2 linked regions of the Caenorhabditis elegans genome follow. The protein of the gene in region 2 interacts with the protein of the main gene of each other region in a pairwise test. Each region holds a gene or a part of one and is shown on either strand. Other genes may lie near its edges.

Region 1 (8,330 bases), on a different chromosome or scaffold from region 2:
TTCAAATTAAATTATTGTTCTCTAACAACAAAATATTTTTCTTAACCCACGTATTTCGAATCTTATTGGTACAATTCCACACAAAACCTGAGCAATAAAACATATTTCTCCTCACACAGCTTGGTGAATCTGCTGCGGTCACAAGTCACTAGTCCTTTTCCACAATTTCGTCATTCAGTGAGACTTCAATCATCATCTCCTCCCTATGGGACTCTTTTTTAGCCTTCTATTGTTGTACTCTCTGACCTCAACTTGGACATTTTTAGATATTAGGTTCTCCAGGAAGTCTTTGTAACTGAGTTTGCTTTTCCATAGCTCGCCGCAGTTGCACTTTGGTGTTCGACAACTTCGTGACAATTACGTGACAACTTCGTGACAATTACGTGACAACTTCGTGACAACTTCGTGGCAACTTCGTGACAACTTCGTGACAACTTCGAGACAACTTCGTGACAACTTCGTGACAACTTCGTGACAACATCGTGCCAACTTCGTGACAACTTCGTGACAACTTCGTGACAACTTCGTGGCAACTTCGTGACAACTTCGTGACAACTTCGTGACAACTTCGTGACAACTTCGTGACAACTTTGTGACAACTTTGTGACAACTTTGGGACAACTTCGTGACGCTGTAAAGCCAAACGTAGTGTTACCTTCTTTCGCGAGCCAAAAAAACGCGAAAGAGGGGCGGAGTCTGCACACTCGGCATTTATTAGAGGCTGCTTGGCAGAATATAGAAATTGATGGTTTCATCTGTCCCTGGTCTCATCGTTTCAATTTCTACATTAAAGCCCACTTTTGTATTAATATCCCACATATCACCAATTTCTCATCTTATCATAGAATCTTTCAACATTATTATTTGTAACAATATTTGTATAAGTAGTATCTCTAACGTTTTATTTAAGAAAAATAATAATGAAGTTGACATTACAAATGTTTGAATATGGTAATATCAGTGGAAAAGATGACATAGATATATAATCTTTTTTAAAAAACGAATACAAATCAGCGCATAGAACACGGTACAATTGATGTAGAGGGATACGTAATATGCTGGAAAAATGGCGATACAGTCCAAACTTGTCTATTCTTTTTTTGCTTGACGCCGCTTTCGAGTAGTTGGCTTCTGCTTGCAGAGGGATAACGGGCGTTTCACTTTGTTGTGACGGTAATACAAGTTGCAAGCACTGAAAATATTACTTTAATAGTGGAACTAATGATGTATATTTAACTAGTCATTAAAATTAATAAAATTTTAAATTCGAAATTCTAAAAAATAATCGAAAATTATAAGCAAGTTCAACTGAGAATTTTTGATTTGGAATGTAAATGTTCTAAATGTTCGAAAAAATTCAGGGGTAGGCGGCAAGTGCCATTCGGCAAATTTTTTTGTCAACAAATTTGGCAAATCGATAAATTGCCGGTTTGCCATTTTGCCGGAAATTTTCATTTCCGACAATTTGCCGATTTTTCGGAAATTGAATTGATGATTTTTGTTTTTAGAGGGATTTTTTATAAGACGGAAACATTTAAAACTGTGCATTTTTGAAATGTTTTCTCCGTTTTCTTTAGATATTTTCACAGAACTTGCTTACTTTTCAGAATAGATGTAGGAACATTCATAGGATGCGTACAATTTTGCCGATTAAAATTGAAATTCGGAAATTTCCAAAAAAAATGTGCAAAACCACAAATTGCCGAAAATTTTCGGCAAATTCGGAAAATCGACAAATTGCCGGTTTGCCGATTTGCCGACTTGCCAGAAAAACAATCGGTTGCCGCGCACACCTGGTAGAAATAATATAAAAGAATATAATAAAATATAAACTTACTTGCACTCAAGATTCCCTTCATCATTTTTACGCCAAAGTGTGGTTGTAGTTGTTGAGCAGTGTGAGCAGCACGCATCACGAATTACCTGAAAAATTTCATATAGAAATATTTATTTCATTCTAAACCCTCGAATCCTACTTTTGCAATTTTCTTTCCCTTCTGTGAACCAAATCGGTTTCCAGATGATTCGTAACTGCTATCTTGCTCCACAAAGGATTTTTGCTCATTTTCATTTTTCGTCAAGCTTTCATCAAAAATAATTCTGGAATCTTCAAGTGGTTGTAATGGAGTAGTACACATTGACGACTGAATTGGTTGTTCGTATGGAGATGGAATTTGATAACTCTGGAATGGATCAAAGTGATGAGTTGAAGCATCTTGCCAAGTATTGTAGTACACGGGCTGCGGTGGGTAGACATATGGACTGAAAAGTTGGAGTTTTTATTCTCTCAAGCTGAGCTGAGTTTGTAGTACATTTGTGGTGCAGGAGACTAGGCAAAAGATTTGTAAGCAGTTGGTAAAATTTGGCAGGAAAAGTTAAGCGGAAAGTTGTTAAAATTTGTCAGAAAGTTGCCAAAAGTTTTGCAAGAAGTTGCCAAAAGTTGGAAAAAAGTTGCCAAATGTTGTCAAAAAGTTGCCAGAGCTTGGCAGGACGATGCCAAAAGTTGGCAAAAAGTTGTTAAACTTTAAAAGAAAGCTATCAAAAGTTGGCAGAAAGTTGCAAAAAGTTGTCAGAAAATGTCCAAAGATTGACAGAAAGTTGCAAAAATTTTGCAAAAAGTGTTAACATTTGAAAGAAAGTTACGAAAGGTAGACAGAATTTTTTAACTGCTTTGTAGGAAATTGTTAAACTTTGAGAGAAAGTTGGAAATTACCTACAATTGCCAAACAGGAAACATGTTAAGTCATACACTTTAAGCCATTCCCAGCATGAAACTCGTTTTTCAGACTCTCAAATTATAATAATAAACCTTAAAAAATATAATAATTCTCAAAGATTCCTATTCTCAAAAACACTGAAAACTACTGATTATAAGCAGTATACTTTGGAGCATTCGATATTGATTTTTATCAGTTATGCTACATGAGTTCAATAAAACATAGTTTTGGTCACATGTTGGAACAAAGTTGTTGTTTTTGTATACATTACTACAGGAAAGTAATATTTTGGTAGTAATGTAAAAACCATATAATTCTGTTGATAGTGAATATTTCAATTTAAGTTTGCCGTAAAAATAATACAATTACATTATGCAACATTTTTATGCACTGCAATAAAACAGTTTTGATTTCAAAACTTACTTTTGATTATATTGAAATTGATTAAATAAATAATAGTCCTCCATTGGACTTCTCGCTGGCGGCTCATTCATGATAGTCGTAACAGATGGAAGTGGTTGAAGAGTAGTAGTTTCAGGGAGCATTTTTTCCAGTCGACTAGAGCAGACAACTCTAACCACAAATGTCTGTCTTTGTTACAGGCAGGAAAGTAACAAAGAGCCCGGAGAGATCCTAGAGAAAGAGACAAAAAAGGTCAGAGTGATAAGATAGACCGGCGGCGGTGGTGATGGGGAACTGTGTGTGGCTCACCACCCATCATTAGTAGTTTATGATATAATGACTATGAACCTGGACGGCAAAGTTCTTAAAGGGAAGGAGAACGAAAGTAAATATGACTTGGGACTTTTATGGATAGTCGTAAATTAGTGGTAAGTCAGAGATGCATGTACCTATGCCTTGTGTGCCAGTGGACGAGCAAAAAAAGGAAACATGGGAAAGAGGGGGGGGGGGTGCGGCAAATCTCAAAATTTGCAGAGTCCGGCAAAACCGGCAAATTTGACAAATTTGCCCTGGTCGGCGAACCCGGAAAATCTCGATATTTTAAAACTATTTTTTGGATCACAAAATTGACGAAAAAGCTTTAAAAGTGTAGCATTCTGGAAAAAAAATTTTTTTTAAAGATACTCACAAAATTTTGTGTTATTTCATTCATTTCTTTCTTCTAAACTCAAGGCAAATTTTAGAGTATTCCGAGCTTAACAAATGGCAAATTGGACAAATTTGTCGCGAATGGGAAATCTTGTTCCAAGTTGAAATGCTGTGTCCTGGAGGAAGTGTGCAATTATTTTTTTTTAAGTTGAAGTAATGTGCAAAAGGGGCATAAACTGATTGTGAGAGTGCATAGTGTTTATAATTTAATTCTTGTATTATCGGTAGCCTATTTCTAACGTGTTTTTTTTTAAAATACATATAATTTATTTAAAATGAATGCTTGAAAAATCAACATGGAATGTAGTTTTACGTAAACTGTATTTTTCTATTAAAAAAAGTGTAGATTTGGAAAAAGATAAGAATTCAGAACTGTGAGAGGCGATTTTAAATTCATTATTTTTATTCAAATTACTAGCATTCGCGGCTTCTCAACTAACCGACTAACCCCCAATGTGCGTCTCGAGACCAGGATTGAGTACAACTCGGAGGTAATATAAGGTATTAGAATTACGAGTTCTCAGTTAACCGCTACAGATCTCGACACGAAATTACTTACACCACACAAAATGAGGAATCTGCAGAAAATTGGTATAAGATGGCTAATTCGAATTTCCGATCGGCAGTGTTTGAGGTATGAATCCCGATTTTTATAATCGGAACTTTGTGCCTACAGTACCCGCATGTGTTTCAAAATTACCTCTACAGTTTATTTTTTCCACTTCTACGACTTTAAAGGAGGGCGCATTTATTCAAAATGGTCCCGCCACGCTCCACCCATTGGTCTCGCCACGCGCTTCAAAAATCAATGAATGGCGCGTGACGAGACCATTTTGAATGAATGCGCCCTCTTTTGAAGTCGTAGAAGTGGAAACAAATACACTGTACTTTTGCAATTTCGCTCAACTTTTCGCAATTAATAGCGCTAAAACTCCGGGTTTTTGAAAAAAAAAACCAAAAGTACGGGGAAATGGAGAAATATGTGCGCGGAAATACTGTACCTGGTCTCGGCACGATTGAAACCTTTCAGCTACCGTACACCACAAGTTTTCGTAATCGTCTATTTCTAGACTTTCACCAAATTCATAGCGCTAAAATGTGTTTTTAGTGAAAAATTGAGGAACATTTGCGGATACGATACCTAAAAAGACCCACTACCGTAACATAAACAAATATAATTTTCAGAACCGTGTCCACGTGTGGGCACTCCCACTGAGCTATTCTCAATCGAAATATGGTGGCCGGAAGACTCCCTCATCTGCTTGCACAATAATCACTGTCCAGATTGCTCACGATTTCTTGAGGTTTGTGAAATTTTAGTGCGATCGAAAAGTAAATCCATCTTTTAGCAAGAACGTCTGTATCCCACCCACGCATCCTTTGACACCTCAACATCTTCCACTTGGCGTCCTCGATGTTCTTATTAACGGAATTGTTGATGGCAATGAGACACACGAAAAGGCTATGGCAGCTCGACGACGAGGATTCAGTGGAAGTCTAAAAAAGAAGCATCTTGAAGAGACAGGGGAAAGTGGTTCAGTCTTCCAATTTTTGAAGAAACCACATCGAGACACGTTCACTGTGCCAGAAGCTATTCAAGTTCAGCGGCCCGAGATGCATGAGATTGACTACCCATGCTATTCTGGAGACTTTATTAGCAATCTCGTGACAGCTATGTCGATGGCTGTAAACAGTCCGTATCTCTCGAAACTCGATAGATTGGCAATTGGAGTGCTTGCTTTCGAAAGGGCCATGTGTTTTATCTACGATCGCCCGACAAATTCAATAATTCTTCTCGACACTCATATGCATTTTAAAGGACAAGCTGGAAGTGTTCTCTGTGTTGCATCGTTTGAAGATATTACGGATTTCATCGTTTCGGTAACTAAGCTCGTGTTCCATGAAGTTTTCAAAACTGCAGATGTCACCGGTGTAAGTTCCAACTTTTCTCATTTCTAGGTTATACTTTAACTTTTTACAGCAGTTCGAAATTACATGCCTGATGCTTACAAGTCTGATGAACAAAGTCCACAGAGGAGACATCTTTCTTCCAGTCAAATCGAGCATGCCAAGAGTCATACCAGTAAAACCTTTGAGGCCCTTTAGAATCAAAACGAGGTTAGTTTAGAGGAATGGTGAAGGTTTAATCGAATCATTTCAGAAAAATGATTTGCGTTGGGAGCGCGGAAAAGGACAGTGACAGTGGTTATGAAAGCGATACCTTATGAACTCCTCCTAATTTTAATAATAAACTCATTTATTCACCCGTTGTTTTTTAAGTTTATGAAGACCAAATTTTTAAGGGTCTCACCAAGATGGGTCTCACCACGATAGGTCTCACCACGACCATTCCAGAATTTTCTCGAATTTTCCAGAAGGTTCTAGAAAATTCCAGAACTTTCTCGAATTTTCCAGAAGGTTCTGAAACATTCCAGAATTTTCTCGAATTTTCCAGAAGGTTCTAGAAAATTCCAAAACTTTTTCGATGTTTCCAATATTCCTCCAAAATACGAAAAGTCAATTTTTCTCAAACTACACAAATCCTACAGTACTCCTAAAGTACCCCTACAGTACTACTACAGTACCCCGACCATATCCCACTACTAACCGCAAACTTATATTCCCTCAAAAGACAAAAACACAGTTTTTCCTAAACTACAGTAATCCTACCGTACTCCTACAGTACTACTACAGTACCGCGCCCATATCCCCCTATTAACCCCAAACTAATATCCCTCCAACAGCCGAAAACGCCTTGCCTTTGTAAGCTATGACGTCACAGACTACAAACTACTTAACAAACGGACACTATTTTTTTATATATAGGTAATGATAGTTGATGGTCTAACCAAATTCACAGATTTTGGGTTTTTGAGCAGCTGCTAGTTTTGTGGCCTAATACAAGGTACTGGCAACAAGGCACCGGTATTGTGGGTTCGATTGTTAAATTTTCCTATATGCAATACTTTTGCTTAGTTTTCGGCCAGTTCGAGTTGCCACACTTCACACTAGTTTTTTATAATTACAACATTTTTCTTGATATTTCTACTATTTTTCACTTAAAAATGTTCAGGTCATCTGCAAAGGCTCTTGTATGTACTTTTTTCTCAGTCAGTCCATTTTTGCGCCTTTTCAGGGCCCGTGAAAATTGTTTTAGCAGATTTTGAATGATTCTGGAGTTGTGTTAGTGTAACCATCAAAATATTTTTCCAACCATCGCGATTTAAAAAAATCAGATTTTTCCAACAAAAAATAAACTTTAAAATTAAAAAAATGTTCCATCAAAATAACTTTAAGTTAAATTAACTGGGGGTATATTCCATTTATTTCCAAGTAGAGAATTGTTTCGGTTTTTCGAATTTTTGGTCTCTCCCTTGTTCCCAACCCCCTACCCCTTTTTAAAAGCCGCTTAAAAAAGCTTTATCTGTTTCTAAGGGGACAAAACAATGGGCTCTCACCTTTCAGGAATTATTTATCCACTCCAAAAACACGAGAAATCTCAGCAAACATTTTTCTTGATGAAGGCAATTGTCGGAATTCTCAGAAGCCCATATCCTTGGCTTATACTGATAGTTTTCGGTGGGTTATAGGTTCAGTTGGTCCTTGAAATTGAATAGTTTTCCAGTCATATATTATTTTTCGCTTCAAGTAAATATTACTGTGAAGTAAGTGTTTCCAGTTCAATCCAAAGACACCTATGAAATTAATTTGAATTTCAGACCACCTGAATTCAATGCTCAATTTTCAACCTTTCATCCTGAAAAGTACATATCTAGCAGGTTATCACCGAGGTCTCGTTTAGGTATTCTTGTACATAGGGGTGCGCGGCAATGGCCGACCGTCAATTATACAAAATGAGACGATTGGGCATGTTCCCCCGATACTTTCATCCAAATTTAATGATACAATATAGAAAAATATTTGCTTTATTTGAAAATAACTTTTATTTAATTTTTGAATACCGGGAAAGTATTCAAAAATTGTCCGAAAATTGAAAATTGCTGTCAATTTTTCGGCAATTTTCACCGGCAATTTTCAACTTTCAGACAATTTTTGAACACTTTCTCGGTTGTTCCAAGTCAAATTAAAGTTATTTCCAAATAAAGCAAATGTTTTTCTATATTGTTTCATTAAGTTTTAATGAAAAATATTGGGGGAACGTGTCCAACCGTCTCATTTTGTAGAATTGCCAGTCGGCAATTACCGCGCACCCCTGTATTCTTATAAGTGGTATAATAAAAAAATACAAATATTTTCAAGGAAATAATATATTTGAAATGGCATCGCTTCTTGGAATATCACGAGTTTTAAATCGCACAGCCACATTTTTCGTGGGAAATAAAGATTACTTAAAAATGCTGAATCGTGTAAATGAGACACTTCCAGGGCTTGTTGATCAATTTCTAATTATTAATGGCACGGTTTGTTGTGATTTATCTGTAGATCAATTTTTTTTTTGAATTTCAGGTACCTCCATGTGCTCGAAATACCACATTTGGTACA
Region 2 (8,330 bases):
AAATCCAGAACCTGTCCGACAAAAAAAATTTTTCGAATAAAAAAAAATATTTCAGAGCCAAAAATTGTTACTCTTTTCAATAAAAACAAAAAAATAATTTAAAAATGTTATTTTTTCAACAAAAAAAAATTCCAAAATAATCGATAAAGCCCGTCCATCGTGTAGTTTTGACCAGCTTTTTACCCAAAATTCTCTTCATTTATAGCTCCAAAGAGCCCTCCAACTGCACAAATTCCTTCTTGCCGCGTAGTTTTGTGAGAAGAATCTGCAAAAAATCGATTTTTTGTGAATTTTATTAAAAAAAACCTAATTTTACCTCATTTTTATTGATTTTTCTCATTAAAACAGCGAATAAGCCCGCTTCCCGCCGCGTCAAGTTCAAAATCGTCAGGATTTTTGCGGAAAGAAACAGGAAATTCCATTGCTCTGTCATCATCGCAAATCCGTCGACAGCTCGCTCACAAACTTCCCGAAAAAGTTGAAAATTGACGGGTTCCACCGAATTTTTCACATATTTATCAACAATAATATTCACAATTTGACAAAATGGGGTCTTGCCACGATCTCCGAAGGCTTGAAGTTGCGGCGCCAGCTTTTCCAACAAAATCGAGCAAATTTCGACGATTCGTTCGTCGTTTTTGGCGATTTTCGTGTCGAAAATCTCCGAAATTTGTGTGATAATCGTGTCGGGATTGGGTTTCAAGAATGAAATGTCTGGCAAGTGGCGAAAATTGGATTTTATTCGGATTTTTTCGCAAATTTCCTCAATAATTTCCATTGGAGACGTGCATGTCGAGTTGGGAATCGTTTTTGAGAGAAATTGACGAAATAAGTCGTTGAATTGGGCTTCTGAAAAAAAAATTTTTTTTAAAAGATATTTTTCGCGTTTTTACACCGGAAAAACTGAAAAAATCGCGAAAAATCAATAAAAATTAGCTACAGTAATCTTAAAGCCGCACAACTAAATTCTCAAATCCTAGATTTTCGTTGCGATACCCGCGGGTCTATTTAAATCTATTTTTGCAATTTTTTTTAACGATTTTTTTATCGTTTTTTGCCTAAAATCGTCGTTTTTACCCACCATTTCCGTCGTAAAACGCAGAAAATCCCAAAATTAACGTAGAAAACAGCAAATTTGAAGAATTCGGTGGCAAAATCGAAAAATCGGCAATTTCCAACAAAATTTGCGGGAATTTAATGAAAATCGCGGTTTTTTCCTCGATTTTTCCAGATTTTTGCATCATTTTTTGTGAAATTTGTTGAATTCTCAGTGCTAATCCTTTTCGATCGATTCGTGTGGCCATGATTTTCAGCTGATTTTCAATGAAAATAATCGAATTTTCATCGAATTTCTCCAGCGAATTCCGCCAAAATCCGTCGGAATTCACCGGCGCCTGCAGATTTTTTGCCGTTTCCAACAAAAATTGAAAATCCTCGTCAGCTCTCTGCTGTAGGAACCAGTTCAATTCGTAATCCGAGAAATCTCGAAGATATTCAACGGCGAGCTCGAGCTCCGAGTTCATGAGAAGTTTGGTTTTTGTGCGATTTTCTTTGAAATAAGAGTGAATTTTTGGTTTTTCGGCGCCGAGGAGCTTCATAATATCGAAGAAAATGATGATAATCCGCTGAAAATTTGAAATTTTAGTCCAAAAATTAATAAAAAACTACCTTTCCAACCACAGAAGCACCTGGAAATTGCTTTTCCAGATACAAATCGAATTCGCCGAGTAGTATGGCCTCTGAAATGTCTATTTTTCGGTCAAAAAATGGAATTCCAAGGGGAAAATCACCATTTCTATAGATCAAACTGAGCACGTAAATGAGCAAAATCGATGCCTGTGGGGCGTCGATTGTCACCAATTCCAGGCGATTTTTGATTATTGGCCACGATTTTGCGAACGCATCGAATTCTGCAATTTTTCAGATTATTTTGGTGGGAAAATGGGGGGTTTTTTGGCCTTTTTCGGTTTAAAAAAAACCGTTTTTTTCTGTTTTTTCCCGGAAATTCAACCAAAAATGGTTTTTTTTTCAAAGAAAACCCTCCAACACGGCCATGTGTCGATTTACGCAGCTCGTGTACTCCGAGAGGAAAAGAATATCAGAGTTTTTGGCTAATTCTCTTACCCTAATCGCCGTATGTAATGAAAAATTCGATAAAAACGACGAAAAATCACATTTTTCTATGAATTCTGGGAGAAAATAGAGGAAAAATCGATAAAAATGACGACAAAAATAGATTTAAATGGACACACGGGTCTCGCAACGAAAATCTAGGATTTAAAATTTTAGGTGTGCGCCTTTAAGGTTACTGTAGCTAATTTTTATTGATTTTTTGCGATTTTTCCATTTTTTTTCCGGTTTAAACGTGCGAAAAATGTCGGAATTAATCAGATTTTGCAAAAAAATAACGTAAAAATCGGCGATTTTCGTTAATTTTTCGTTGAATTTCCCCTATTTTGCCACCGAATTCTTCAAATTTGCTGTTTTCTACGTTAATTTTAGGATTTTCTGCGTTTTACGACGGAAGTGGTGGGTAAAAACGACGATTTTGGGCGAAAATCGATAAAAAAATGGCAAAAAAAGATTTAAATGGACCTACGGGTCTCGCAACGAAAATCTAGGATTTAAGGTTTTAAGTGTGCGCCTTTAAGGTTACTGTAGCTAATTTCTATTGACTTTTCGCGTTTTTTCCATTTTTTTCCGGTTTAAACGTGCGAAAAATGTCGGAATTATCAGCTTTCACAAAAAATCTGGAAAAATCGGCGAAAAAAAGTAAAATATAACATTTTTCAATGAATTCTGGAAGAAAATTGAGGAAAAATCGATGAAAAATGACAAAAATAGATTTAAAGCGACATACGGGTCTCAAAACGAAAAGCTGATATTCAAGAATTTTTTCTATGCGCCTTTAAGGTTACCGTAGTACTTTTTTTTATTGATTTTTTGAATTTTTTAAAGAAAAATGTCAAATAATTCCTGTTTTTGAATAATTTTTCCTAATTCTTGGGTCCTGAATATATAAATTTGACTTTTTTTTTCTGAAAATTTTGAAAAAAATCAATAAAAATGTACTACAGTAACCTTGAAGGCGCATATCGAAAAAAAGGTGGGACTTCTCCTCGAGGAGTACACGCAAGTCCCGTAAATCGACAAATGGGCAATTTTAACAATTTAACAATTTTTAGGCCAGAAAATCATCAAAAATATCGATTTTCAGTGAAAAAAAACGGAGATTTTAGTCAAATTTACCTAGAAAAATGCGATTTAAAAGCTGCAACGGGGCGAAAAGCACGCTCGCCTCCAGAGCATACAAATACTTCTCGTTCACAATAATTTCCACGTATTTCTGCACAGAATTCCGATTTAAATCAAGCTTAGCGAGCGGATTAGCCATCAAATTGTCGAAAATTCGAGGCAGAAGCTTGCTTTTCAACACGGTTTCCAAAATTGAGAATTTCTGCAAAAAAAATTCTGATATTTGGGGCTCCGCGGAGCTCGGCTTCCAGAAAACCTTCTTTTGCTCTTTTTCGTTCACCGGTTCCAGTAGAGAAATGAGCTTTGAGCACGCTCGGGGAATATCTTCAAGCCTCGTTTCACACAATAATCCGAGAAGTTGAATGAGCCGGGATGGCGGCTTTTCGTCGGTTTTGTCTGAAAAAGTATTAAATTTTCTATTAAAAATCGGAATTTTGGCCTAAAAACAAGCTTTTTTTTCTGAAAAGTGCGATTTTTTAAAAGGATTTTTCGAATTTTTTCAGCAAAAATCGCAATTTTTCAGGCGGAATCGATTTTTTTTCGATTAAAATTGAGCTTAAACCATAATTTTTCGGGAATTTCTAATTTCTGAAAGCCAAAATTGCAATTTTCAGGACAAATAAATTGAGTTTTTAAGACAAAATCCCGATTTTTAAAGAATTTTTCGAATTTTTCATCCAAAATCGCAATTTTTCAGGCGGAATCGATTTTTTTCGCTTAAAATTGAGCGTTTGGCTTTCAGAAATTAGAAATTCCAGAAAAATTACGGTTTAAGCTCAATTTTAAGCAAAAAAAAAAATCGCTTACGCCTGGAAAAATGCGATTTTTGCTGAAAAAAAAAAAGGAAAATCATTTTAAAAATCGGTATTTTGGCCTAAAAACTCAATAATTGTTGTCTGAAAATTGCGATTTTGGCACTCAGAAATTGGAAATTCCATAAAAAACCATAGTTGAAGCTCAATTTTAAGCTCAAAAGTTGATTCTGGCCGGAAAAATGCGATTTTTTCTGAAAAAAATCGAAAAATCCTTGTAAAATTCGGTATTTTGGCCTAAAAACTCGAAATCTGTTCTGAAAAATGCGATTTTAGCTTATAGAAATTGGAAATTCCAGAAAAACTATGGTTTAAGCTCAATTTTAAGCGCAAAAAAATCGATTAGGCCGGGAAAATTGCAATTTTGGCTAAAAAAAAAGTATCAAATTTTCCTCTAAAAATCAGGATTTTGGCCTAAAAACTCAATTTTTTTCGAAAATTGGGATTTTTTCAAGAGGATTTTTCGAACTTATTCAGCAAAAATCGCATTTTTCCAGGGGGAATCGATTTTTTTCGATTAAAATTGAGCTTAAACCATAATTTTTCGGGAATTTCTAATTTCTGAAAGCCAAAATTGCAATTTTCAGAACAAATAAATTGAGTTTTTAAGACAAAATCTCGATTTTTAAAGGATTTTTCGAATTTTTTCATCCAAAATGGCAATTTTTCAGACGGAATCGATTTTTGTGCTTAAAATTGCGATTTTGGCTCTCAGAAATTAGAAATTCCATAAAAAACCATATAATTTTAAGCGAAAAAACTGATTTTGCCTGGAAATTTGCGATTTTTTCTGAAAAAAATCAAAAAATCTTTTTAAAAATCGGGATTTTGGCCTAAAAACTTGAAATTTGTTCTGAAAAATCCTGAACTTTTGCTGAAAAAAAAATCGAAAATCCTTCTAAAAATCGGGATTTTGGCCTAAAAAGTCAAAATTTATCCTGAAAATTGCGATTTTGGCTCTCAAAAATTAGAAATTCCATTAAAAACCGTGGTTTAAGCTCAATTTTAAGCTCAAAAATTGATTTTGCCTGGAAAAATGCGATTTTTGCTGAAAAAAATCGAAAAATCCTTTTGGAAATCGGGATTTTGGCCTAAAAACTCAAAATTTTTTCTGAAAATTGCGATTTTGGCTCTCAAAAATTGGAAATTCCATTAAAAAAACCATGAAAGTTGATTCTGCCTGGAAAATTGCGATTTTGGCTGAAAAATTATTGAATTTTCCGTTAAAAATCGGTATTTTGGCCTAAAAACTCAGTAATTGTTGTCTGAAAATTGCGATTTTGGCACTCAGAAATTGGAAATTTCGAAGAAATTATGGCTTAAGCTCAATTTTTAGCTTTAAAAAAAAAACCATTTTTCTTCATTTGTTCTTCAAATTGAAATTTTTAGTGCAAAAAATCAGTTTTCAGCAAAATTTTAAAAGCGAAAATTAATTTTTCCTTGGAAATTTGAATTTTTCTCCAGAATTTCAGATTTTCAAAAAAAAATCAATAATTTACCAATAACCGAGCAATTCTGAAGCTCTCCGAGTAATTCTATATAATATTCAAAATATTCTATCGCTGAAATCACCGTCATCGCGTTGAAAAGCCCTGAAATTAAAAAAAAACAATGAGAAAATTCAGAAAAATCGAAACTTTTTCGGGCTTACGTTCGATAATTGTGGGCGAATCCGACAATTTTGATTTTATCAGGCAGTTTAACGCCTCGTGAAGCCTCGTACCATCCTTGTAGAGCTCGATAAAGTATTTTTGCACACAACCGCACGAAAAACACTGGAAAAAATGGAATTTTCGGCGGGTTTTCAGTTTTCCGGGCGGAAAATCACCAACCTCTAGCTTGGATTTTCGATTTCTGCAGAGAAAATACAATTTTAGAATTGCATATGCTTTTTTTGAAGTTTCAGAATCAAGGAATAACTTGTCGCCGGCGTCCAAAAAATCCAGCACAACGTGAGGATCCAGCTGAAAAATTCGAAAAATCATTAAAATCCAATTTTTTTTCTGGTTTAAAAACCTTTTTTCTCGTTTCATCTCGTAAAATTTGCTTCAATAATGATGTGAAAATTCGATTTATCACTTCATCCTGCCCAATCGCGGTTTTTTTCATGAATTTTAGGATTAAAAGTGGCTCCTGGTAGTTTTCAGCGGCGATTTCACGGGAAAGCGCTGTCAAAAGCAGATGGAAGTCTGTTTCGTTCGATAGCTGCAAGAATTTTTCAATTTTTTGGCAAAATTTGGCGGATTTTTACTCTTTCCGGCGATTTCCAAATCGATGTGAAGAGAGATTCGTCGAAAACTGCATATTCCAGCTCTTCGGCAGCAAATCCCTCGGTAATATCGTTGATAACTAAAATAAAATCTTTTAATTTTCACAAATTTTCTTCAAAAAAAAAAACCTGGAATACACCGTCGCCGTCGCATTATTTGCTAAAAACCCGAATTTTTTTTCGCCTAAAAAAAAAAAATCAATTCAAACGCGCGGGCCTCGGTGGCCGTGGCCTAGAAACCCGCGCGAGGGAGATTTGAAATTTGAACACTCAAAACTTGGCACTCTGCCAATTATTTGAATCTGGCCCAATATGCGGCACTTTGCCTCTTTGTCCTTGATTTCTTCGTGTGTAATATGCTAATTTGTTGCCTTTTCACGTGATATTCTTGGGTTTTTGCCGAAAAATCGCAAAATTACAGCTCAAAATTTAAATAAATGTATTTTTCGGAATGTTTCAGAATCTCGGCAATATTCCATATAATTTTAAGAAATATATGTAATGATTGAGCCAATTTACGGTGCTTGTGCTGTTTAATAGTTTTGTTTTCGAAAATTTTCCAATTTTCTGCTCAAAAATTAAAGACGCAGGCAATTTCCTCCGGCACGGGTCTCGCCACGAAAAGCCGATCGAGAATTTAACGAGTTTTTATCGAATTTTCGCAGTTTTTTGTGAAGATTTTCGAGATTTCAGCAAGTTTTCAAGTAAAAATCCCACCTTTTCTAGAGAATATGCGTTTTTTTTTGCTTTTTCACGTGATATGCTCGGTTTTTTGCCTGAAAAAAAAAGGAAAATTTCGGCTCAGAAATGGAATAAATGCAATTTTTCATGAATGTTTCAGAATCTCGGCACTAATCCATTTTTTTTTTGAAATATATTGAACCAATTTAGTTTTGTTTACCAGTTACCTGCTCAAAAATGTTTAAAATTAACGAAAAATTAAAGGCGCAGGCATTTTCCTCCGGCACGGGTCTCGCCACGAAAAACTGGAGATCGAGAATTTAACGAGTTTTTATCGAATTTTCGCTGTTTTTGGTGAAGATTTTCGAGATTTAAGCAGGATTTTGACTGAAAAAGCTCACTTTTTTCTGGAGAATATGCTAATTTGTTGCCTCTTTCACGTGAAATGCTTGTTTTTTTGCGTAAAAAATTCGACTTAAATACCGTTTAAATTAATTTCGTTATTTCAGAATGTCCCGAAGGCACAGCGTCGTTGACGCGTACTCAACTGTAGAAGGAAAGATTCGCGACACGATGCGAGAACTCTCAGCGTTATGGGATGAGGTGGACATGTCGGAAGCAATGAGGCTCAAGCGTGTCGACAACGCGTTCACGCACATAACGCTTCTCTGTGATGATATGGTAAAAGCCTAAAATACCCAGAATTCACTTAAAATCTCCTTTTAAATTCCAGCTATCCGGCGAGAAGGAGATGATCCACAATCTGAAGGTCAGCATTCGCGAGGACATGCAAAATGTCAAAAAGATGCGGCTCGAGCTGGAAATGGAGGATTTTCAGCGGCCCGCCGAGATAAAGGACGGCTCGATCGCCTTGATGAGACATTTGCAGTCGGAAGTGAAAAGTTTGGAGACAGAATTCCAGACGAGACACGAGGATCAGCGTGTGCTCATCGAGAAGATCTGCAATTTGAAGAAGCGGTTGGAGTCGGATTTCGAATTCGAATATGAGATTCATGCGGTAACCAGAAGCCGCATTTTTATTTAAGTATATAAAAATAAATTAAAATTTCAGCTCTTCCCAGTAAAGGCGTTCGAGAAGTACTCGGCAAGCTGCAGTGAGATGGAGGAGCTCCTCAAACACCGCTACCACCAAATCGAGCGTCTCCAGACCGACATCTCGCAGTGGAAGAGTATGGCGCAGAATGTGGCCGACTATATCGGCGGGGATGATGATTTGAAGAATTTGCTGGAGAAGAACATCGATTCCCCGGAATTTGTGTTCTCTGAGCGGCTTTTGGACTCGTTGCAGTCTT

Evidence for each region.
Region 1: the proteins of Y34D9A.3 (region 2) and elt-7 interact in a two-hybrid assay, tested with the Caenorhabditis elegans proteins (one large-scale study listed by BioGRID).

What each region holds. Positions count from the first base shown.
Region 1 is NC_003283.11:4,765,646-4,773,975, reverse strand, and holds elt-7 (Transcription factor elt-7), read right to left. Parts: upstream 3,307-8,330; 5' UTR 3,263-3,306; coding exon 3,141-3,262; intron 2,263-3,140; coding exon 1,977-2,262; intron 1,924-1,976; coding exon 1,838-1,923; intron 1,193-1,837; coding exon 1,090-1,192; 3' UTR 890-1,089; downstream 1-889. Other genes in the region: C18G1.9 (FERM domain-containing protein), read left to right, coding at 4,281-4,318, 4,365-4,461, 5,013-5,131, 5,177-5,759, 5,809-5,945, 5,989-6,055; C18G1.8 (L-Fucosyltransferase), read left to right, coding at 7,561-7,618, 8,088-8,248, 8,295-8,330. UniProt on the Caenorhabditis elegans protein: Transcriptional activator that binds to the consensus sequence 5'-[AT]GATA[AG]-3'.
Region 2 is NC_003279.8:1,032,633-1,040,962, reverse strand, and holds Y34D9A.3 (THO complex subunit 2), read right to left. Parts: upstream 6,521-8,330; 5' UTR 6,491-6,520; coding exon 6,466-6,490; intron 6,419-6,465; exon of another isoform or gene 6,417-6,418; coding exon 6,319-6,416; intron 6,273-6,318; coding exon 6,084-6,272; intron 6,032-6,083; coding exon 5,900-6,031; intron 5,843-5,899; coding exon 5,719-5,842; intron 5,660-5,718; coding exon 5,567-5,659; intron 3,652-5,566; coding exon 3,512-3,651; intron 3,458-3,511; coding exon 3,250-3,457; intron 1,911-3,249; coding exon 1,791-1,910; intron 1,749-1,790; coding exon 1,669-1,748; intron 1,626-1,668; coding exon 1,082-1,625; intron 850-1,081; coding exon 317-849; intron 266-316; coding exon 200-265; 3' UTR 101-199; downstream 1-100. Other genes in the region: spd-1 (Protein regulator of cytokinesis 1), read left to right, coding at 7,528-7,698, 7,751-8,035, 8,090-8,330.